4 linked regions of the Drosophila melanogaster genome follow. The protein of the gene in region 3 interacts with the protein of the main gene of each other region in a pairwise test. Each region holds a gene or a part of one and is shown on either strand. Other genes may lie near its edges. The genes, in order: Ubx, ac, E(spl)mgamma-HLH and sc.

What was found.
Region 1: the proteins of E(spl)mgamma-HLH (region 3) and Ubx interact in a protein complementation assay, tested with the Drosophila melanogaster proteins (one study listed by BioGRID).
Region 2: the proteins of E(spl)mgamma-HLH (region 3) and ac interact in binary tests that used the Drosophila melanogaster proteins (3 or more experiments, as listed by UniProt).
Region 4: the proteins of E(spl)mgamma-HLH (region 3) and sc interact in a two-hybrid assay, tested with the Drosophila melanogaster proteins (3 studies listed by BioGRID).

Annotation. Positions count from the first base shown.
Region 1 is NT_033777.3:16,731,134-16,736,989, forward strand, and holds the start of Ubx (ultrabithorax), read right to left. Parts: upstream 3,294-5,856; 5' UTR 2,331-3,293; coding exon 1,565-2,330; intron 1-1,564. UniProt on the Drosophila melanogaster protein: Sequence-specific transcription factor which is part of a developmental regulatory system that provides cells with specific positional identities on the anterior-posterior axis. Binds the consensus region 5'-TTAAT[GT][GA]-3'.
Region 2 is NC_004354.4:367,779-371,746, reverse strand, and holds ac (achaete), read right to left. Parts: upstream 1,717-3,968; 5' UTR 1,654-1,716; coding exon 1,048-1,653; 3' UTR 800-1,047; downstream 1-799. UniProt on the Drosophila melanogaster protein: AS-C proteins are involved in the determination of the neuronal precursors in the peripheral nervous system and the central nervous system.
Region 3 is NT_033777.3:25,997,623-26,001,613, reverse strand, and holds E(spl)mgamma-HLH (enhancer of split mgamma, helix-loop-helix), read right to left. Parts: upstream 1,764-3,991; 5' UTR 1,672-1,763; coding exon 1,054-1,671; 3' UTR 853-1,053; downstream 1-852. Other genes in the region: E(spl)mdelta-HLH (enhancer of split mdelta, helix-loop-helix), read right to left, coding at 3,361-3,882. UniProt on the Drosophila melanogaster protein: Transcriptional repressor of genes that require a bHLH protein for their transcription. May serve as a transcriptional regulator of the Achaete-scute complex (AS-C) genes. Contributes to the neural-epidermal lineage decision during early neurogenesis.
Region 4 is NC_004354.4:393,958-398,509, reverse strand, and holds sc (scute), read right to left. Parts: upstream 2,451-4,552; 5' UTR 2,334-2,450; coding exon 1,296-2,333; 3' UTR 1,013-1,295; downstream 1-1,012. UniProt on the Drosophila melanogaster protein: AS-C proteins are involved in the determination of the neuronal precursors in the peripheral nervous system and the central nervous system. Also involved in sex determination and dosage compensation.

The sequences.
Region 1 (5,856 bases), 9.3 Mb from region 3:
CGAATTTAGTTCAACTTTAATTGTTTTTTAACCAGCTCTTCGCGTTGGCTATAAGTGAAATTTGATTGATTTTTGAAGGGTATTTTGCAAGCTCCCTTTTATACACAGACAAAAAATATTAGCGGATAATACAAATAATTTTTTGAGTCTTTCGAACAATTAAAAAAAAAGTAATAATTTGTAAGTTAACAATTTATTTAATTTGAAAATAATAACTTGTAAGCCCTCTATTTTCCCTATTTCTTTAGTGCCAGCTTGAGTGCAGTTTACGTTCGATCTTCGAGCACCTAGACCTCCTTCGGCTGACCTACTCTTGGCTTTGTTCTTGGCCCAAACGGCAATCTCGGCCCAGACGCAAGCCGTTCGCCTCGCTCGGCTGGTGACTGAAACCCGTGGAAAAGTCGAGCGGTGAGGGGCTGAACGTAATTACATAATGGCGTAGTTAACCGTAATAAGCGCGACTTCTGCGCGCAGTGTGTGTCCTGAAAGGATTCTTGCCCTTTCTCGCCGACTCCTGTGGCTGCCTTTGCTGCCTTTTGCTATTTCTTGACTTCTCCGTTGCTATTTTGCAGCTCTTTTTAAGCCGCATGCCATAACTCACGCTGCTCGTTGCCGCTCTCTTGTTGCACAAATTGCAGCTCACTTGGGCTGCCAGCGCTGCAACAATTACCGCCGAGCATCATTAAAAGCAAAGGTGACAAAAATTAGTAAACAAAGTGTTGAAAATTATGAGGCAGACGTAGCGCTGCAAGGTGTCGCGGAGCGGAGCAGGTGAAATCGAAGGGTCTGAGCTGGTTTTTTTTATTTTTTTATTTTAGCTACTCATGGCTCTTCACTCGATTTAATCACTCTAAGCGAGATCACAGCCATAAAATCTCGCTTAGAGTGATTAAATCGCTGAAATTGGCGGCCAGCGAATAAACTATGGCCACGCAAATGGGTGCCTTTAAATAGAATTATTGGAAAATAATTTTGAGTTAGCCAAGGGGGTTTTTGCCTTTTTAACACTTAATAAATCTAAAATACTTGTCCTAATTTTTTTCCTCTGAAGAATATAATTTTACTATTTTTTATTAAAATTTTTAATTTTTTTACCAAGTATTATCACATCTTTTTTTCTAAACTTTTCAGCCAATTTGAATATACACAATATTAACTAGGACTGTTTTTTGGCTTCCTATAACCATAATACATTCTTAGTTTTTGTTTTTTTTAAATCGCTTAAAGTTTTTGATTGCCAATAAGGTGTTGTGTCTTTTCCCTAAGAACCTGCCATAAAAAGGTCTGTTCTGCCTGCTTTCATATGTCTTACATTACAAGTTGTTATCTGTTTTTCCCATGATCGATTCGAGCTCTTCATTATATTGCCTTACATGTTGACTTGTCTGTTAATTGGAGCAGAGACGGCAATTAATCACAGGATGACTTTTGTTGCCATAGCTGCAATCTGTTGAGCTTGATAACAACTGGGAAAACAACAAAGCTTTGGCACTGCAGGGATGAGGACAGAAGGGATGGGATTTCGGGGGACTTTCAGTGGACTTGTGCTGCAGTGGACACTCACTTTTGGTCGGATCTTCAGGACACTCACCTGCGATAGCCATCCAGGGGTAGAATGTGTGATTGCTGGCCTGGTGTAAACTGCTGGCGGCCGCCGTTTGGGCAGCGGCGCCCGAGATGGTGCAATTGGCATTCCAGGCAGTGCCCGCTCCGGCCACGCCCACGCCGCTCTGTACGCCTCCGGCGTTGCCGTTGCCGCCGCTGACACTCACATTACCGCCGGCACTGCCGCCGCGATGGCTAACGGGACTGCCGCCCGACGTGTCCAAATAGCCGCCCACTCGGGAATCTGGGGTGCAGGCGGAGGGTCTAACGGGCATACCGCCCGCCGGATTGTTCTGTCCGTTTGCATTGGCCGCATTACCGCCATTGGCATTGCCGGCTCCACCTGTTCCGCCCGCTCCGCCGCCACCACCGCCTCCGCCGCCACCCCCGCCGCCATTCGAGCCGCCCGTGTTCCAAATGTCTTTGTAGCCATTCACCGCATCCGCCTTGATGTTCAGGCAGTCCTGTTTGTAGGCTCCGGCTCCATCGCCGTATATCTTGTTGCAGGCGGCCGTGATGCTGGCATCGTAGGGCGAGTCCTGGGTGGTGCGCTGCAGATGGTGGTTGGCATAGGGACTCATGCCCAGCGAGAGAGGGAATCCTCTGTACGCGGCCGCCGCTGCACTGGCCGTCTGGTCGTGGTGGCCACCGCTGCCCATTGCCATTCCGGTGGCCTGGTGCGGATGGCCATAAAAGCCGGAGGCCTGTTCAAAGTACGAGTTCATTGCGCTGCTGGCGGTAAGAATCTTGGCGGTGCTCCGTCTGAGACGGGCTAAAAGTCGTTGGGGGCTTGACCGATTTCACACGAATTGGTTTCCAGGGATCTGCGATTTTTGGCGGATTTTATTTGAGTGTTTCCTCGCTTTCTGTGCTGTTCCTTTGCCTCCTTTGGATTTAAACAAATTTTGTTAAACTCTTTTTAAAATTTATTTTATATTTTCACTCCAAGTCTTTGTTGATTAAGTTTGGTTTTATATAGTTAAATATGTCTTATTATTTGTAAAATATTCTTGAAATTTTTTCTCCTTTGTTTTAGCACCAATTTGAATTTTCTTTGTTTCAGAGTAACCAATTTGTTTTTCACTTATTTAAATATTTATAAAATATTTTTCTGTTTGGTAAATATTTATTTCAAAAGTTATTCTTTTTATTGCACTCTCCACGCGGGTCGTTTTAAATTTATTTAAGCACTAATGTTTATTGAGACTTCAATCTTAATAATCTTTAAATTTTTTTCCACAATTGTTTGTACGGTTTCACAAGTGTTTCGTATACTTTGTTGCGTTTTGGTTTCGGTTTTTAGCCAATTGCACTTTGCTGTTAATTGAATTCGAATTTGAATACTTGGATTGCGCTTGCCTTGGCACTATCAAAGGCTCGTAAGCGTTACGATTATTACTATGTTTATTGTTATTGCAATTATTATTATTATTTTTATGGTTTTAACGATTTGAACGATTATTAGCCATAGTGCTGACCGAACGGGCGCGAATGCGTCTGCTGACGGATTTCCTCGAATCTGGACGCCAATCTAGTGGAAAGCGACTTTTCCGCGCGGCATTCACGGGCGGACGCGTGGGCGAGCGGTAAAGCGCTGAGGGCCAATAATAACAATAATGCCGCTGATAATGTGGATAATAAAACAAAGCGCGCGCCTGTTATCCAATCCGTTGCCATCGAACGAATGTGGCACCAAATCGCAGTTGCCAGTGTTTTGACTTTGCTCTGCCGACTCAACTCACTCGACTCGGCCTAAAAACGAGTGGAAAACAGAAACAGAGAGCCAGCGAAACGCTCAAAACCAGATTGTTTTTGAGCGCTCTTGCGCTCTCTCTTGAGTGTTCGTTCAGTTTAAGTTTATCGGGGTGGGCGCCTCTCGTTCATTCATTCGCGAGGAAGGAAAATGCGCTCGCCGCGGGAAATTCATCATGGAGGAGGGCTGATTTTCCTTCAACTGAGTGGCGAAAAACGCTCGACGGGCTGCCCGCCAGTTGCCAGTTGCACGCCAAACGATGCGCATCCCGTATTTGCTCGGTTTTAGCGCACTTATGACTACAGTTTCAGTTCCCAATCTTTGTGCTAGAATATGGCTTACGCAAATTATTTGTATCTAATTCTATTCAGTTTAAGCTGGTCATTATTTAATTGTTCAATATTTTGGGGAATAATTTGCACACAACGAAGTGCAAAAAAGTTTTTGTTTTAAAAAATATATTTATTAGAATAGTCGGAATATTGTAATTATTAATTTAATTTCTATGGAAGTAAATATCGTATAAATTGTTTCACAATTTAGAAAAATATTAGTAAATTAATCGTTTTTACCTTTACCTCAAAAACTATAAGCTTAATTCAATGTGGTATGGCATAAAAAGATACTTATCACTTAAAGGCTTTATTAGGCCTTTAAAAACGAATTATAATATATTAATGAAGACATTATTTTTTATTTATTAAAAGTCTCGTGTTTAGCATTAGTTTATTGATAATAAGTCAACCCCAACTCGGCATTGTACGGTAATAGAAGCCAGGGATCCGGAAAATTTGTGTGCTGCGGTTTTCCTTTTCCTATTCAAATTCAAATTCGCATTCGAATCCAAATGTTCAATCCGTTCGCCAATACTTTCAATGGGATATTAATGTCAATGTAAATATGGTGGGAATTGATGCTAATAAATTCATATGCATAATGCAAATAGATCGGGGTCTTGCAGACCGAGAACGCCGCGCCATTCGCGAAAGTTTCGCAAATATTTGTCAAAGTTTCCACATTCGCACAAACGGCTCGTAGATTAAGCCAGAAACCGACGGCGACCAAACAAAGTTGCTTGCCACAAGTGTTTGCAAAATAAACTTATTATAAGAAGAAATTTACTTTTCTACTTTTCCAACCCCTGCTCGCGCCATTTTCCGCCGACCAAATTTTCGGTGCCAAGTCTTAAAAATCAACAACAAGCGAAAGATACAAAAACTTGCACAAAACACAGATACGCACCACCACATACACACACACACACACACACTGACAAACACTTGAATCACATTCGGAGACGCGGCGACATTTTCTAAATATGCGACCAAAAGCCCAAGGAAAAGCGAAGCCAAAAGGCGAGAAGACCCAGAGCAAAGCAAAAGTAAAGTAAAAATCGCAGTCGCAACTGCAAACTAAATATCGTGAGTCGGGAATCCAGGACCCAGAAACTCGCTATCCCGCATTTGGGACCCAGGGGAAGGACACGAGTGCGAAGGACTCGCGGGGATGACAGAGAAATAGCCTCATAACCATTTGAAGCCATTCGAAGGCGCATAAAAGGATCACAACAATCGCCGAAATGAGCCATAATGAGCTCGTAAAAATTTTGCTACCTAATATACTCGGGAATCTTACGGGTACGAGTATATTCAAACTTGCTACGTTATGGTGGGGTATGCAATGGGGCAGCGCCAGTTCCCCTCTGTGGCTTCTGCTCCTCTCGTTGCTCTCGTTACCTCCTGCAGGAGCTCCTCCTCCTGCAGAAAGTTGGAACCCGCAGTTTTGTTTTTGTTCGACATCGATGATTGTTTTTTCCTCCGTTCTGCATTCTCGAGTTTGCTGCTCGAGTTACTGCTCGATTATGAATTGATGTATTTTAGTTCTGAGAAATCTAATTCTTCCAGAAAATGGAAACGTTTTTGTTGTAGAGTTTTCACCAATCCTATTAATTTCAAAATTACGATTAAGATAAAAAGAACTTTTTACTTAGAAACTAGTAACATCTCTCAATAGCAGCAGCATTTATTTATTTCTTTCTTCTGGATGTGTAAACACGTTTTAACAATGGAAGCCCCCACCACCACGCCCACGCAGCCCGAAAAGGGAGGCATCGATTGTCTTGGCATAAAGTCGCAATGAGATTGTACGATTCCCGATTCGCAATTCGATTCCCAGGCATTTGCATACAAAGCGATCTCATTTTCATATGGCCACCACCAGCGCCCCCGCTTCACTGTCATCGGTAGCTTGTTGCAGCAATTTACGAGAGCTTCCGTTTCGCGAAAAGGGGGATTAAATGCAAAGCTCACACCTGTCCAAGTAGCCTGAGGTTGACCAGTTGCCCAGTGGATATGGACAATGCTAAATGTGGCCAATTAGCCCCGAGGCGGCCGAATCCGTGGCCAAAACCTGACTCCTCCTTCACACCAACGCCTTGATTGATGGCCTCCATCTCCGTTCACCATTCGCTGTTGAGAACTGGTGCAGGGCAATTAGAC
Region 2 (3,968 bases), on a different chromosome or scaffold from region 3:
ACAAGAACTAGGTATACAAATTATCAATTTCTATTAGTGTTTTATTGTTGCTAATGAATAGATTGGTGTGTGATGTAGTGATCTAATATGGTGAAGAATTTGCCGAAAAGACCCATGAACCATGTTTCTTTTGTTTTTAGAGTATATGTATCTTGCGTGAGTTTTTTTTGCAGCAGCTTCATCGCGGCGGCTTCCGGTGCAGAATGCCTGAGCAGATCTTATTTTCATTTTTCTGAACGTTGTCGGGGGCGATCTGAACAATTGCCGACCGTTGTTTTTTCGCTTGTTTCGGCTGCATTGCGGGAATAACTCAAAATTAGTTCATTCATCGATCGATCGATCGATCTCTCCGGAATTGTGAATTCTCAGGATCTTATTACCTTGACCGGTTCATATGCAAAAATGCAGCAGGTAAATATTTTGCCTTTTTCACCCTACTCAATCCAACTTTATTTATGCAAATCGGCGTTTTCGATCAAAAGTGTTTACAAAATGTTATTGTAATTTATCTTCATTGGCTAGTGATCTGTAAATACTTAACGGTTACAGTTTCGAATACTTTTTTCGGGCTTACCCCGAATAAAGCGTATACTAGGATCGTTTAAAGGAATGTACCAGGTAAAAGGAAGCGTGTCCTGTGGTATACAGGACAGGATCAAGTTTGTATCAAAACATTGCTACGCCCATATTCATAAAGCATTTGTTCATTAAAACTTTTCTGAATTTTACTCCTTTTGTACATAAATTTGTTTCACTTTAATTACCGTTTAATTTTGTTTACAATAAAAACTCATTTAAAATTTTATATATATCAGTTTAATGTCCTCAATGTATGCTATAAAAAAAAACTTAAATATAAATTGTCTTCCATTAGAAACTATCCTTAGAAACTATATAAAACCTTAAATACTAATTTATAAGGCAAAAAGGTAGTTCTAGGGAATATAAATACTTTGTGGCTGAGGTAATACTTGTTGGCCAATCAATGGTTTGATGTGTGTTATGGTTGGGTGCGACTAGCAATAGCTGAAGATTTGATCTGTTTTTTTACAGGTCGTCCTGCCAGAGTGATATATAGTCGAGGATGTCCTCATCTTCAGTACCAGAACTGCAGGAATTGTTACGGTAGTCTTCAAAACTGGCTTCCAACTTGGTATGAAAATTGTTAGGAGGTGTTGCTCCCGGAATCGTCGATGTTGCTGGCTTGCAATAAGAGCTAATGCTGTTGCAGGAACTTGTGCTGCCAGTTGGAGATTGCAACTGCAACTCTTGGTGCCAGGCGTATAAGTGTTGATGCTGTTGCTGCTGCTGAAAGTGCAAATGTTGCTGCTGCAAATGCAACTGTTTCTGTTTCTGCTGGTCGTTTTCATGAAGAACTTTCTGCAAGCGCCGTATGTACTCTACTGCCATTTTCAGTGTGCTAACTTTGCTCAGTTTTTTATTGGCGCCGGGACCAATTCCCCGGCGACCATTGCTTAAATCGGCTATTACGGCCGCAGGGATATGTTGTCGTAGTTGGCTGAAGCCATTGTTGACCTGCTTTACGCGGTTGCGTTCCCGGGCATTTCTCCGGATAACAGAGGGTCCATTAAAGGCCGAAGATGACTCCTCGTCGTCGTTGAAAACAGAGTGATTTTCGCTGCCCAAAGCCATTTTAAGAGATAGTATAACGTTATTGTGTGACGATGCTCCTTGCTTCAGCGCTGGCTCTGTTCTGATGCCCTTCCCCGTTCCGTTCAGGCTATTTATAGGTATCAGGGCCTAGGGATCCCACCTGCGTGACTACCTACCTGCCCCTGGAAAAGGTGCAACAGCATCATCACTGAAGGATCGTCTCTTGAGATGAGTGTTTTCTCTGATTTTAATAGAGAGGTAGTAATATTATCTCTCGTTCTCTCTGTAAAACGCAGCTGTTGGTGACCTGAGTGTTCCCGTTGTCGAGTGGGAAGAGTTTCTGAGTGTTTTTGCTCATTTTCAGCTGCCTGTCGTCCCCAAACGAAAACCTGGCCCTGTCGCGTGCCGGCTGCCAACCGGTTTAAAAAGGCAACAAGGTCCAGACATCAGAGCCAAGTAAAAACACCTCCGAAGTAAAAAGCTGTATCTCCTATTGAAAGTGGCCATCCAATTTGTATAACTAACAAAATACAACAAAATTAGTGGAATAGACTGTCATTACAATTATAAAAATGGGGACATTTACAATTTATACACTACCAAAAGTGTTTACGAAAAAATAATCTTTAATTAACAAGGCTAGGTATTTTAGACTTTTAAAAAATCTTTAATTTTATGTTAATACATTTAATTTAATTTATTTTATGTACTGATGACCTTCCGATCCCTGGATCATTCGGACATTATCTTAAACACTAGACCATTGTCGCTCGAATCCAAAGTCGTAGGAATTTTCAAGGCCAGCTCATCAACACCTCAGGCGGCGATCCATTCGGTCCTGCAACGAAACCTGATCAGCCGGAGGCACTTTTCTATTAACACTTCTAATGCCCCGGGGCCTTTATGCCCAACGTATCAGTTGTTGTTCCTCTCAGCCGAAAGCATTTTGAAAGCATTTAGGAGGTCCCCATTATTTCTTAAAACCATTGTCAGAATTCTGGTTGCACGCTAGGAAACCGTGCCGAAATAGATTTGTATTGGCACTAACTCACACTGAGCCTCGTTTAACACTTCGTTGCTGTAGCCCCGGGGGATTGCATAGCATTACATGTGAAAAGGACATCACAGGGCATCTAAGCACAGACATACCAGATGTCCAGAGGCTAATAAAATCAAACATATCCGGTCGACCTTGCAAAATCCGTGTTGATGTAATATAAATTTGCCGCGAAGCATTGAGACAAGGTATTCAGTGTCAACCAGGTTTATGAATTTGCAATTTTATTATTATTTTTTGCTTTGAATATCGCTTAGCGCCACAAGTGCTCTTCTTGAGCTTTTCTGCTTGATAACGACTAAATAGTACAATAAATGTTACTAAGACCCTGCGACAGAAAACCGAAAAATCGTGACGGGATAAACTTAAGGGGGGAAGAACTGAGATCTGAATATATGGCGTATCAACCGAATAAAGATGAAGTCGTCATTAATATTGACTCGGTCTGCCGATTACTTGACGTTGTTTCATTTATTCCACACTTCTTAAAGCGGCATGCTTGCGACACAGTAAGGCCTCGATTACAGGACAGCTTCCGTACATTTCAGTACCAATGTTGATCGTACAGGTATTCTAGCCGATAAATGAAAAGTATGTACAAAGTATGTACTCATGTTTATTAGGGTCTTCAAAATTGGGAGCTTAGAACTGTAGAGCCTACGCCTAGGTGCCATTGAATTAAATGTTGCTGCTGAATAAATAAAAAGTCAACTGTCAACTGTTCATGGCCATCAAATTGCCATCCAGAGATTACCGATCTCCGGACGATGAAAGGACGAAAGCCGCCCATGGTTTTGGTTTTGAGTCCCCCAACTTCCCACTCCATATAAATATCTGATTTATGAGAGCAACGCGAATATGTCAACGAAACGATGTCACATCTAAGGTGAGCGTTTTAACGCCGCCAATTCTATTTGGTCGATTTCTTATATCACCACTGGCAATAATATTTATGGCCAGGAGCAAAAGCCAAGCTCCTTTTGAAATTCAACGAAGAAAGATGGCGATTTTTGATTAATTGTAGTGCGAGAGCTTTGATTAATTGCTGGAGGCAAGCGGCTCCAATATAACAATTTGTTTTGGCGTTGCATTAAATCAGAAAGGAAGAAGTTTCTGGCATCATCACGGCGAGATATTGTAAGACCAACACCTTGATAGCCTTTGCTGCCGTATTTATGAGTTGGCTTAAAATTTATGAATGGTCCACGGTTTTGGCCTCGAACATCGAGAGCAGCGAAACACTGTGAGAAAGAAAATACGTTTTTTATTCCGATACATTGTTAATAAAGCACATTTT
Region 3 (3,991 bases):
TGCGTCGATTTTTAAGACAGAGGCGTCTGTGAATCGGCTACTGGTCTTGGCACACAGATAACCAAATGATGCTGGGTCAGCCAGATCAGAAAAAAAAAACGAAAATCAAAAAAGGCTCGGGCAGAGCCCATAAAAAAGAAACAACAAAAAAACCGATATCCTGTCCCCGGCTGGAGCTCCTCCATCTTAAAGTTGCCCTAGGGCAAGGCAGTCATTTACCTGATCCGAAGCAATTATGTGCCCATAGCTTACCTTGACCATTGTGCACACGATTTTCTATCCGAGTGGCCAGGGAGAATCACGGCAACAAAAAATTGAGGAGAACAAAGCGAAATCAGGACGGATGCGGGATGAATGATGACTCGATCCCTTTTTTGGTTTTCGGTTTTTTTTTCGGGTTCCTTGCCGGCTCTATGCCCATTTGTTTTCTTCTAAGTCTGAGCGACATTGTCGTAACTCGATTAGATACGCTCAAAGATAAGACTCTAATATTTTCTGTTACCTTCGCTTATTGTCCGCACACGTGTTGGAGTTGCAACCACCAACTGGCCTATAGGCTATGTCCCGGTATCGGTAGCCCCGGCTTTGGACTTTGGACTTCTTTCTTCTCTCGTTCTTCTGCCTAATTCTTCTTGTTTCGGCCTTGGCATTGTTTTCGCTTTCTTTTGTCCGACGATCGTGTATGTGCATCCGTGGGGCGATCGAATAGTTACAGGGGACAGAGAGAGGTGCTATTGCGTTTCTAGCGTTTCCGTTCTAGACCGCAGACAATTGGAAACTGTCTGGACATGGGAGTGTCTGAGCAATTTGCATGTGAGTCACTAGATAGTGGCAGAAAAAGTCGTGATCTTTCAATTTTAGCTATATAATTTATTATTTATTTAGTTATCACATGAACTGCGCGTCCTCATCTAAAGCTTTGTGTGTTTATGGTGTTTACTTATAACTAGGTGGGAGTCGACTGGTGGAAATCCAGTGACTCGGAAGACTTTTACTTTCTATGATCTCTCCTTCGTTTTTTTTTTTTTCAGTTGTGGTGTGAAGTAATCCTATCTACCAGGGACGCCAGACGTTCTCCTCGTCCTCGCTGTCGTCCTCCATCTTGGTCACATCGATGGTGGTCAACAGGGAATGGCTGGTCGAACTGGTATTGGAGTTGGGACTGCCGGCGTAGCTGGAGATTGGCGAAATGGGCACGGAGTAGGCATCCCGATTGGCGATGTGCACGGAGAGTGGAGCGGTCACCGGCAAGACTTCCTTTTCTGCTGGCTGGATCTGATTGAGGCGCTGTCCCAGGTGGGTCATTAGCTGAGTGCCTAGGCTGACATTCATGCCGGGCAGCTGGGAGAGTGAACGGGAGACCTCATTGACGGCATGGATGTAGCCGGAACGGAAGCCCTCCGCCGGAGTCAAGCTCTCATCGCCGGAAGCCCGCTTGTGCTGACGCTGCTGCTTCATCTTTTGCAAATGGGTGACGGTAAGTTCCAGGATATCGGCTTTCTCCAAACGGGTGACGTGCTCGCCCTCGGACTCCAAGGTGGCAACCATAAGATCCTTTAGCTCGTCCAGGCACTTGTTGATTCTGGCACGACGCTTCCTCTCCAGCATGGGCTTCATCACCTTGCGGTACTGATAGGTCTTGGACATCTCGGACATTTGTAGCGACGACATTTTGTGTGTTTCTTATTGTTCTTTTTGTAGTTTCGATGTAAGCTGAGTTCTTTGAGCTCTTGCTGCTCCGACAGTCGAAGTCGTTGTGTGTTGCTAGACCTTCGGTGATCGGCCTTATATAGCTGGCCAGAAACAACCCCCAAAAAATGGGCCAAAGGGATCGTCGTCGTCGTCGTGTGTGCTGGCATTCGAGGAGCAAAAGGGACGGGGACACGCTTCGTGTGCTGGCATGAGGGTTGCTCGGTACCGACCCTTCCGCTTCTTGAGACCGCTCCTTATTGTTCGGGCGATTTCTTATTGTTGGCCCCGGCACCCTTATCAAACGGGCCAGGGAGCAGGATCGCTGCCAGGATCGTGGGAAACACTTTCCTACTCGGTTTCTCACATCGACTCGCTCACCTGCCCGCAAAAAGCAGCCGAGCATGGCCACGGCCATGGGCATGGGAATTTGCAGAGCGAACAGCTGCCGTTTCTAGATTTGTGTGTTATGATTTGACTATGGCATGGCAGGGTGAGGGGCATAAGGATAATGAACTGCTTGCATTATGCCATCTCATCGGGGTCCTCCGGGGTTCCCACGATAGCGGGGACCTCCGCCGGGGGATGGGGATAAGGATAAGGACGAGGCGTTGCGATTCCTCGACAACTTCCTGTTTACCGTTGGCATTCCAAATTGGATCGGGTTCGTGTTTGGTGGCAGAGGAAGGGACAAGGACAGAGGCATCCTGCACTTGTTGGTCGGCTGTTATGATCCTGTGGGAACATTGCTCGTGTGCGTCGAGTGCGCTTAATGCGTGTACGACTTCCCGATCCCCCCGACCCGGCAGGACCTCTGCCTCTCCCTCCATCCGCCATGTAAAAGGGGCCAGCGATGCTGATCCTGGAGCGCTGCTCGCGTGTGGCTCGCTGTGGACACACTTTCGGCTGTAAGTTGCTCGCGTTCCAGGACCTTTGTAATGGATGGATGGTTGGATGGGTGGTGCATTACAGGGATTTGTAAACGGAGTGGGGAGAGTTCAATTGACTTGAATTCAAGTGGACAGTATAACGGTATTTGGTATTTAGAATTATAAATTATTAAAATTCCAAGGAAAATATATATTTTCTATATATTTCAAATTAGATTTTAGAAATATATTTAAATATATCTGATATATCTTTTATATCGAAGAAAGCTAAATAAGAGCTTATAAATTATAATTATAATATAATAATTATATATATTATAACATTTTGTACCTATGTACCTATGGATTATAGCAACCTTGTTTATGTTCATATTCCAAATAATATAAAGCTTTTAAAATTTCAGTTTACGTTCATTTTATTATTCAAATGTTCATGGCTTATACTTAATGGTGTAAAGCGAAAAATATAATTTTAAAACATACACAAAAATTTGTTCTTAATGAGGCTAAGTGGAAGCTCGGTGGGGAAGCTCTTGCAAAGTTGATGAAATAAATTACAATGAATTAAATACATGAATCAGTAAGCCTATGGGAGATCAAATACAAAATACGAACTTAAGAACTATCACAGGAACATCACATCATATCAAATCAACTACCAACTAAATACGATTCTGAGGCAAATGTTTACACTAGACCTTGGAAAACTTGGATTGTTTCTTAATGAAACTGAGTAGTAAAGCTATCAATGTTAATTGGTTGCGTATATATGGAATGCCCTTCACCAGGGGCGCCAGACTTCTTCGCCATGATGAATATCCTCTTCTCGCGGAGACTTTGAACGTTTTTGGTCGGCTAGATTAACTGGTTCTTCGGCCATATCGATGATTTCTTCTTCCTGTTTCATGTCCTTGAGCTGGTGACCCAATTGCTTCATCAGGTGGGTGCCGAATTTGAGATCCAAGCCGGGAACCGTAGAGAATATGTGCGAGACCTCGTAGGCAGCCTGGGTGTATCCGGCCCGAAATTTGTCCAGGTTAACTTGGTCGGGTGGTGGGGATTGAGGATTGGCCACTCGCTGCTGCTGTTGCGCTTTCAGATAGTTGACGGTGAGCTCTAAGATGTCAGCTTTCTCCAGCTTGCTGACCTGTTCGCCCTGCGCATCCATGGTGTCCACGATGAGATCCTTGAGTTCGTCCAGATACAGGTTCATCCGGGCGCGTCTTTTGCGCTCCAGGAGGGGTTTGGTCACCTTGCGGTAATGCTGAGTCTTGGTCATAAATCTCTGACCCTGAACGGCCATTGTGTATAATGGGTTTTGATTTGGTGTGGTGATTGTTTGTAAATAAAGTTGCGATGTTGCGATGTCGCTGCTGCCGCTCCGCACTGCACGGTAGTCACTTGAGAAATGA
Region 4 (4,552 bases), on a different chromosome or scaffold from region 3:
AGGAAAGGTGAAAGTTCTTCCGGAGCTGAACGTTAAGCCTTGCCTACAGAGTCTCGCAAAAGAAAATAATGGTATTCCAGAACCCATTTTCATGATTCGAAACAATTGCATTGAGTTGTCAAGTGTCAGCGTTGACATTGAAAGAAAAGATCCCCTATCCCTTATCACTTCCTTTGGAGCATCCAGCGATCCTAAGGACAATGAGGTCCTTTGTCTGTGATGCCCTTTAATGTGTCAAAATATAGTCTATAGTCGCATTCTCCCATGCGTTTGTTTTTCTAATGCAACGTGATTTATTGTCTGGCCAGTGGAAGAGGTTTATTCCAACGGACTGACATCTCAACGGTGCGTGGGAGTGAAGAACTTAGTTATTGTTTGGGGTAAGGTGTTTGCATTTAACTTTTTCAGAAGTGTAAAAAGTGGGTAAAATACTTTTTTGTAAGGCCGTACATTATAGGGAATACTAGGAACTATAGTTAAGCTGAGCAAATTCAAAAGAAAAAGTCTTAAAAGTGTTGATCGGGTTAAAACTACCTCACTTTATATATTTAAGTAGTAATGTATACATAAATACGAACTCCTCTTATATTGAATAAATTGTAAATTGCTTTTTCGACACTTTTCCTTTTTTAAGTTCAATATCTGATCTGAATTTCAAAGTCGTAATTGTAAAACTAGTAACCTTTTAAACTAGTAACCTCGTGGCACGTGTCACAGGTGTCATCGTCTTACCTGCGATAATTTGACATTCTTAGAAACTACCTGAAGAAATAGGAAACTACTGGTCTAAAACCAAATACTGATCTATGTTTTGCGTTATCTGTAATTCGTATTAATGATTTTTGGATATAAGAGTGATTTTGTAAAACCAATGCAAAGCAACCTTAATTGTACATAACGGCTGCACATGGTCCCATCGGCACTGCAAGGCAATGCAAGTAGTACCCGAATGTTTTACAAACCTGATCAATAGATGGATCCCCTTTGAGAAAAGAACTTAAATATGATTTTTCGTTTAATTTTTTCATTTTATTTTTCCACCAAAAACTAATTAACATAAAATTGTATTAGCAAAAAAATATGTTTTCGTTTCCATGCTATAGTTATTTCATAAATATATAAATTTGAAACTGGTCTCGTGGTTCTTAACAATGTAAAAAAATAGCTTAAAGTAAGAAAAAAAAATTGGGGGTATGTTGTTTTTGTATTAGTGTTATTTACAATTTGAGGCACTTGGTTCAACTCAACATTGACTAGAAGAAAATAGGGCGTGGTGGTAAATTTTGGGGATTAAGTCACTGCTCCTGCCATAGAGAGATGTAGTCCAAAATCTCCTCGTCGTCGGGGGTGCAGTCCTCCTCGTCTAATTGAAAATGTTCGTACGGTTCAAATTTTAGCTGAAGTTGGGAGTGCGTGTGTAATTCGTTGTCCAGATGATCCAGACGATCCAGGTGGGTGGATATTTGTTGGGGAACTCCTTCGTAGGTGCCTGAATCAAAGGACATGCTGGAGTTGAATGATGATGTTGGCGAGTGGCAGGTTTGCTGGTTTTTGCTGGTGGATACGCATCCTGCATCTCCACCTGGTACGGATGTGCCCACCAAGTTGGTATTTAATGAGAGCGCTGTCAGCGGTTGGTGATTGAACTGCTGCCTCTGTAGCTGCTGCTGTTGTTGCAGAGGACTGACAGAGATCGTGTTTTGATAGTAGGTATTATGCCCTGAGGAACTGCAAGTACTGCTGCTCGAACTGTGACTGCTGGACTCATCCAAACAAAGTTGAAGCTGGGTGACTGCATTGTTGGCACCAATATTGCTGCCCCCATTTAGGTCATCCACCAGATCCTGAAGCCTCCGGATGTACTCGACGGCAATGCGCAGTGTGTCTACTTTGGAGATCTTTTTGTGAGGTCCTCGACCACCACCCTTTGTCAAATCCGTGATTATGGATTGTGGTATATGTTGCCGCAACCTGGCGAAGCTGTTGTTCACCTGCTTTACACGATTTCGTTCTCTAGCATTGCGCCTTTGGACCGACTGGGATTGGTCTACATTATATGGAGCCGGCGAGGAACCAGGCGATAGAGATGATACTGATTCAGAGCATCTGGTCAGTGCCATACCCCTTGGTGTATACTTGCGAGTCTTAATTGGCATTGTGCCAGCGGGTTGATTTTGATTGCCACCGGGAATTAATGGACTAGGGGCTGGCATTATGTGCTGATAACGAAAGATCTTCGTTGCCGAATTGATGGTCGTTGGAAACGTTTCGTTGGTGGACAGCACACTCGATGACATGGTAGTGCTTTTCGTTGTATTATTATTATTTTTCATTAACACACTCGGAGCTTTCTTTAACTTTCCGGATAACGATCAACAGAAAAAAATAAATGAACAGAGTACAATACTTGAACTTGATCGTTTGACACCTTACACAAGAATGAGTCCCTTCGTCCTAAACCCTCGCGTTATGTACCCTTTATGCAACTCTCTGCACAACACTCAGGCAGAGAAACGGGCGAGAGAATCGGAGAGAAAGAGAGAGAGAGAGTGACGGCAAGAGCTACCTGCACAGGTAGGGAACTCGAAGTGAGTGAGCCACAGGTAGTCTCTCTCTCTTTCTCTGTCTCAGGTACTCGAGTATCCCACAGGAAAACTGTTCTCACTCGACAGTCCAAAAGAAACACTCAAATTTTAAACTCAAAATATCAACTCGAAATATCGAAAAACGATCAAGGTATCTGAGTGAGGGCTCTTTTTGCTACGGCACGCCAGCAATTTGATTTCTGTGTTAATTAACTTAGCAAAAGTCGCGATCGCCAATTTTATGTGCAGCTCACGCACGCTTCTATTCATTAGCGCCGGACGGATCCAAGGGATCGACAGAAGATCCTGGGATCCTCCTTATTAGACATTCGGAGTACGCTCCCTAAAGGTGTTCAAACAATTTCACTTATTTCTCCAATTAAATTATCAAAAGGATCACAATTTTTTGTTAAGTAAATCAAAGGGATGTGACACAAGTTCTAGAAGGAAGTTTGCAGTGAAAACTGCGGTTCTTTGTTTGTGGCTACTTGTGTTTTTTCTAGAACTACTGGGATGTTGCTTTAAATATATTAATTTGTTTGGGAATAATTTAGTTCTGGGTTTGATTAAATGTTCACACATTTGACTTTTAACGGTGTATACTTGTTATTTGTTCTATTACATAATGCGGTCTAAGGTAAAGAAATACTAGACATACATGAAGTTTCATACATCTTCTTTGAAATAATAAATTGATTATTTCAGACTGTTGTAACTTGCCATTGGCCACTGTGTCGTGCTAAACGGCGACTGTAAATTGTAACTTCCGCTCTGTTCACAAAAATCGGTTCATTTTGTCACGATCATCAATCGATGAGCGAGTGAAAAGATGCCAAATCGGCGACCAGGTGTAATATTTTTATTGTCCTCAACTCGTTACCCTCGTTTGCTTCTGCCAGCATTTTTCTTTTGCCAAATCATCAGCAATAGCACTTCTTCACTTCTATTTGGCAAATTTTAGATCCCCGGATCCCAAAATCAAAAACCGAATCCGAAACCAAAACCAAAGCGAAAACCGAAATCCTGATAACAAAAAAACCTTTTCAACCATGACCAGCAAACGGCGCTTCTCTGTGTTGTTCCTATAAATAAAATCCTTTCACCATTTCCAATACCTTTTTTGCATGCTGAACTTCGCTTGGAGTCTCCACTCTTTAGTTTTTGCATTGTAACGGAGGGATCGGTAGTTGGTTTCCATTATTTTACCATCATTAACACTATCATTGTTCTTGAGTGTTGCAGAAATTTTGGCAGCACAATGTTCTATTTAAATTTTCGCATTTTCCAAAATTCCATTGAAGCATTTTAATAAATGGTTGGGAGAAATGCCGGTGACATGCCTAGAATAGGGTTGAAGTCGTCATTAGAAACTCCACTCAGTGAACTGTGTGATCTATGGTGTATGCGGACATTTAACTGAAGTGGAATGCATATAATGCATATACGCGATCCTTTTTTCCTTGAAGCGGAGAGTCATAAGCAAGGTTGGTATAATCGCGTGTTCGGTACAATTGATTAATCATAGGTCCAATTCCGGTCACCGCTTGCATGTAAATGCCACTCATACCTTGAACAAGCATTGGATATTACCTTCAAAATTATAGTACCTAGTGTAGGAATCTTTTAATTTTGAATGATTTAAATTTTATATTTCATAAATGCTTCATTTCCTTTAGTATATAATATTGTTAATTTAACTCTATCTTTGTGGAAGTCTTTTATATATTTTCGGAAACTTAATAATGTTTTTTTTATTATTTCGAAAGACTTGTTCTTCAGGAAAACCATCAGAAAGCAAGTTAAGTAACCTTTCGATGTTGTCCCGACAACCAGTAAACATTTTTTTCGGACTACCTTGTTTATATCCTTTTTCCAGACGCAACGCTTGGAGGATTTAAATGCGTAATTACTTTGATATGAAGCATAGTTCCGGACCGCGAAAACGGGAAATGGAAAGGACTCAAAAG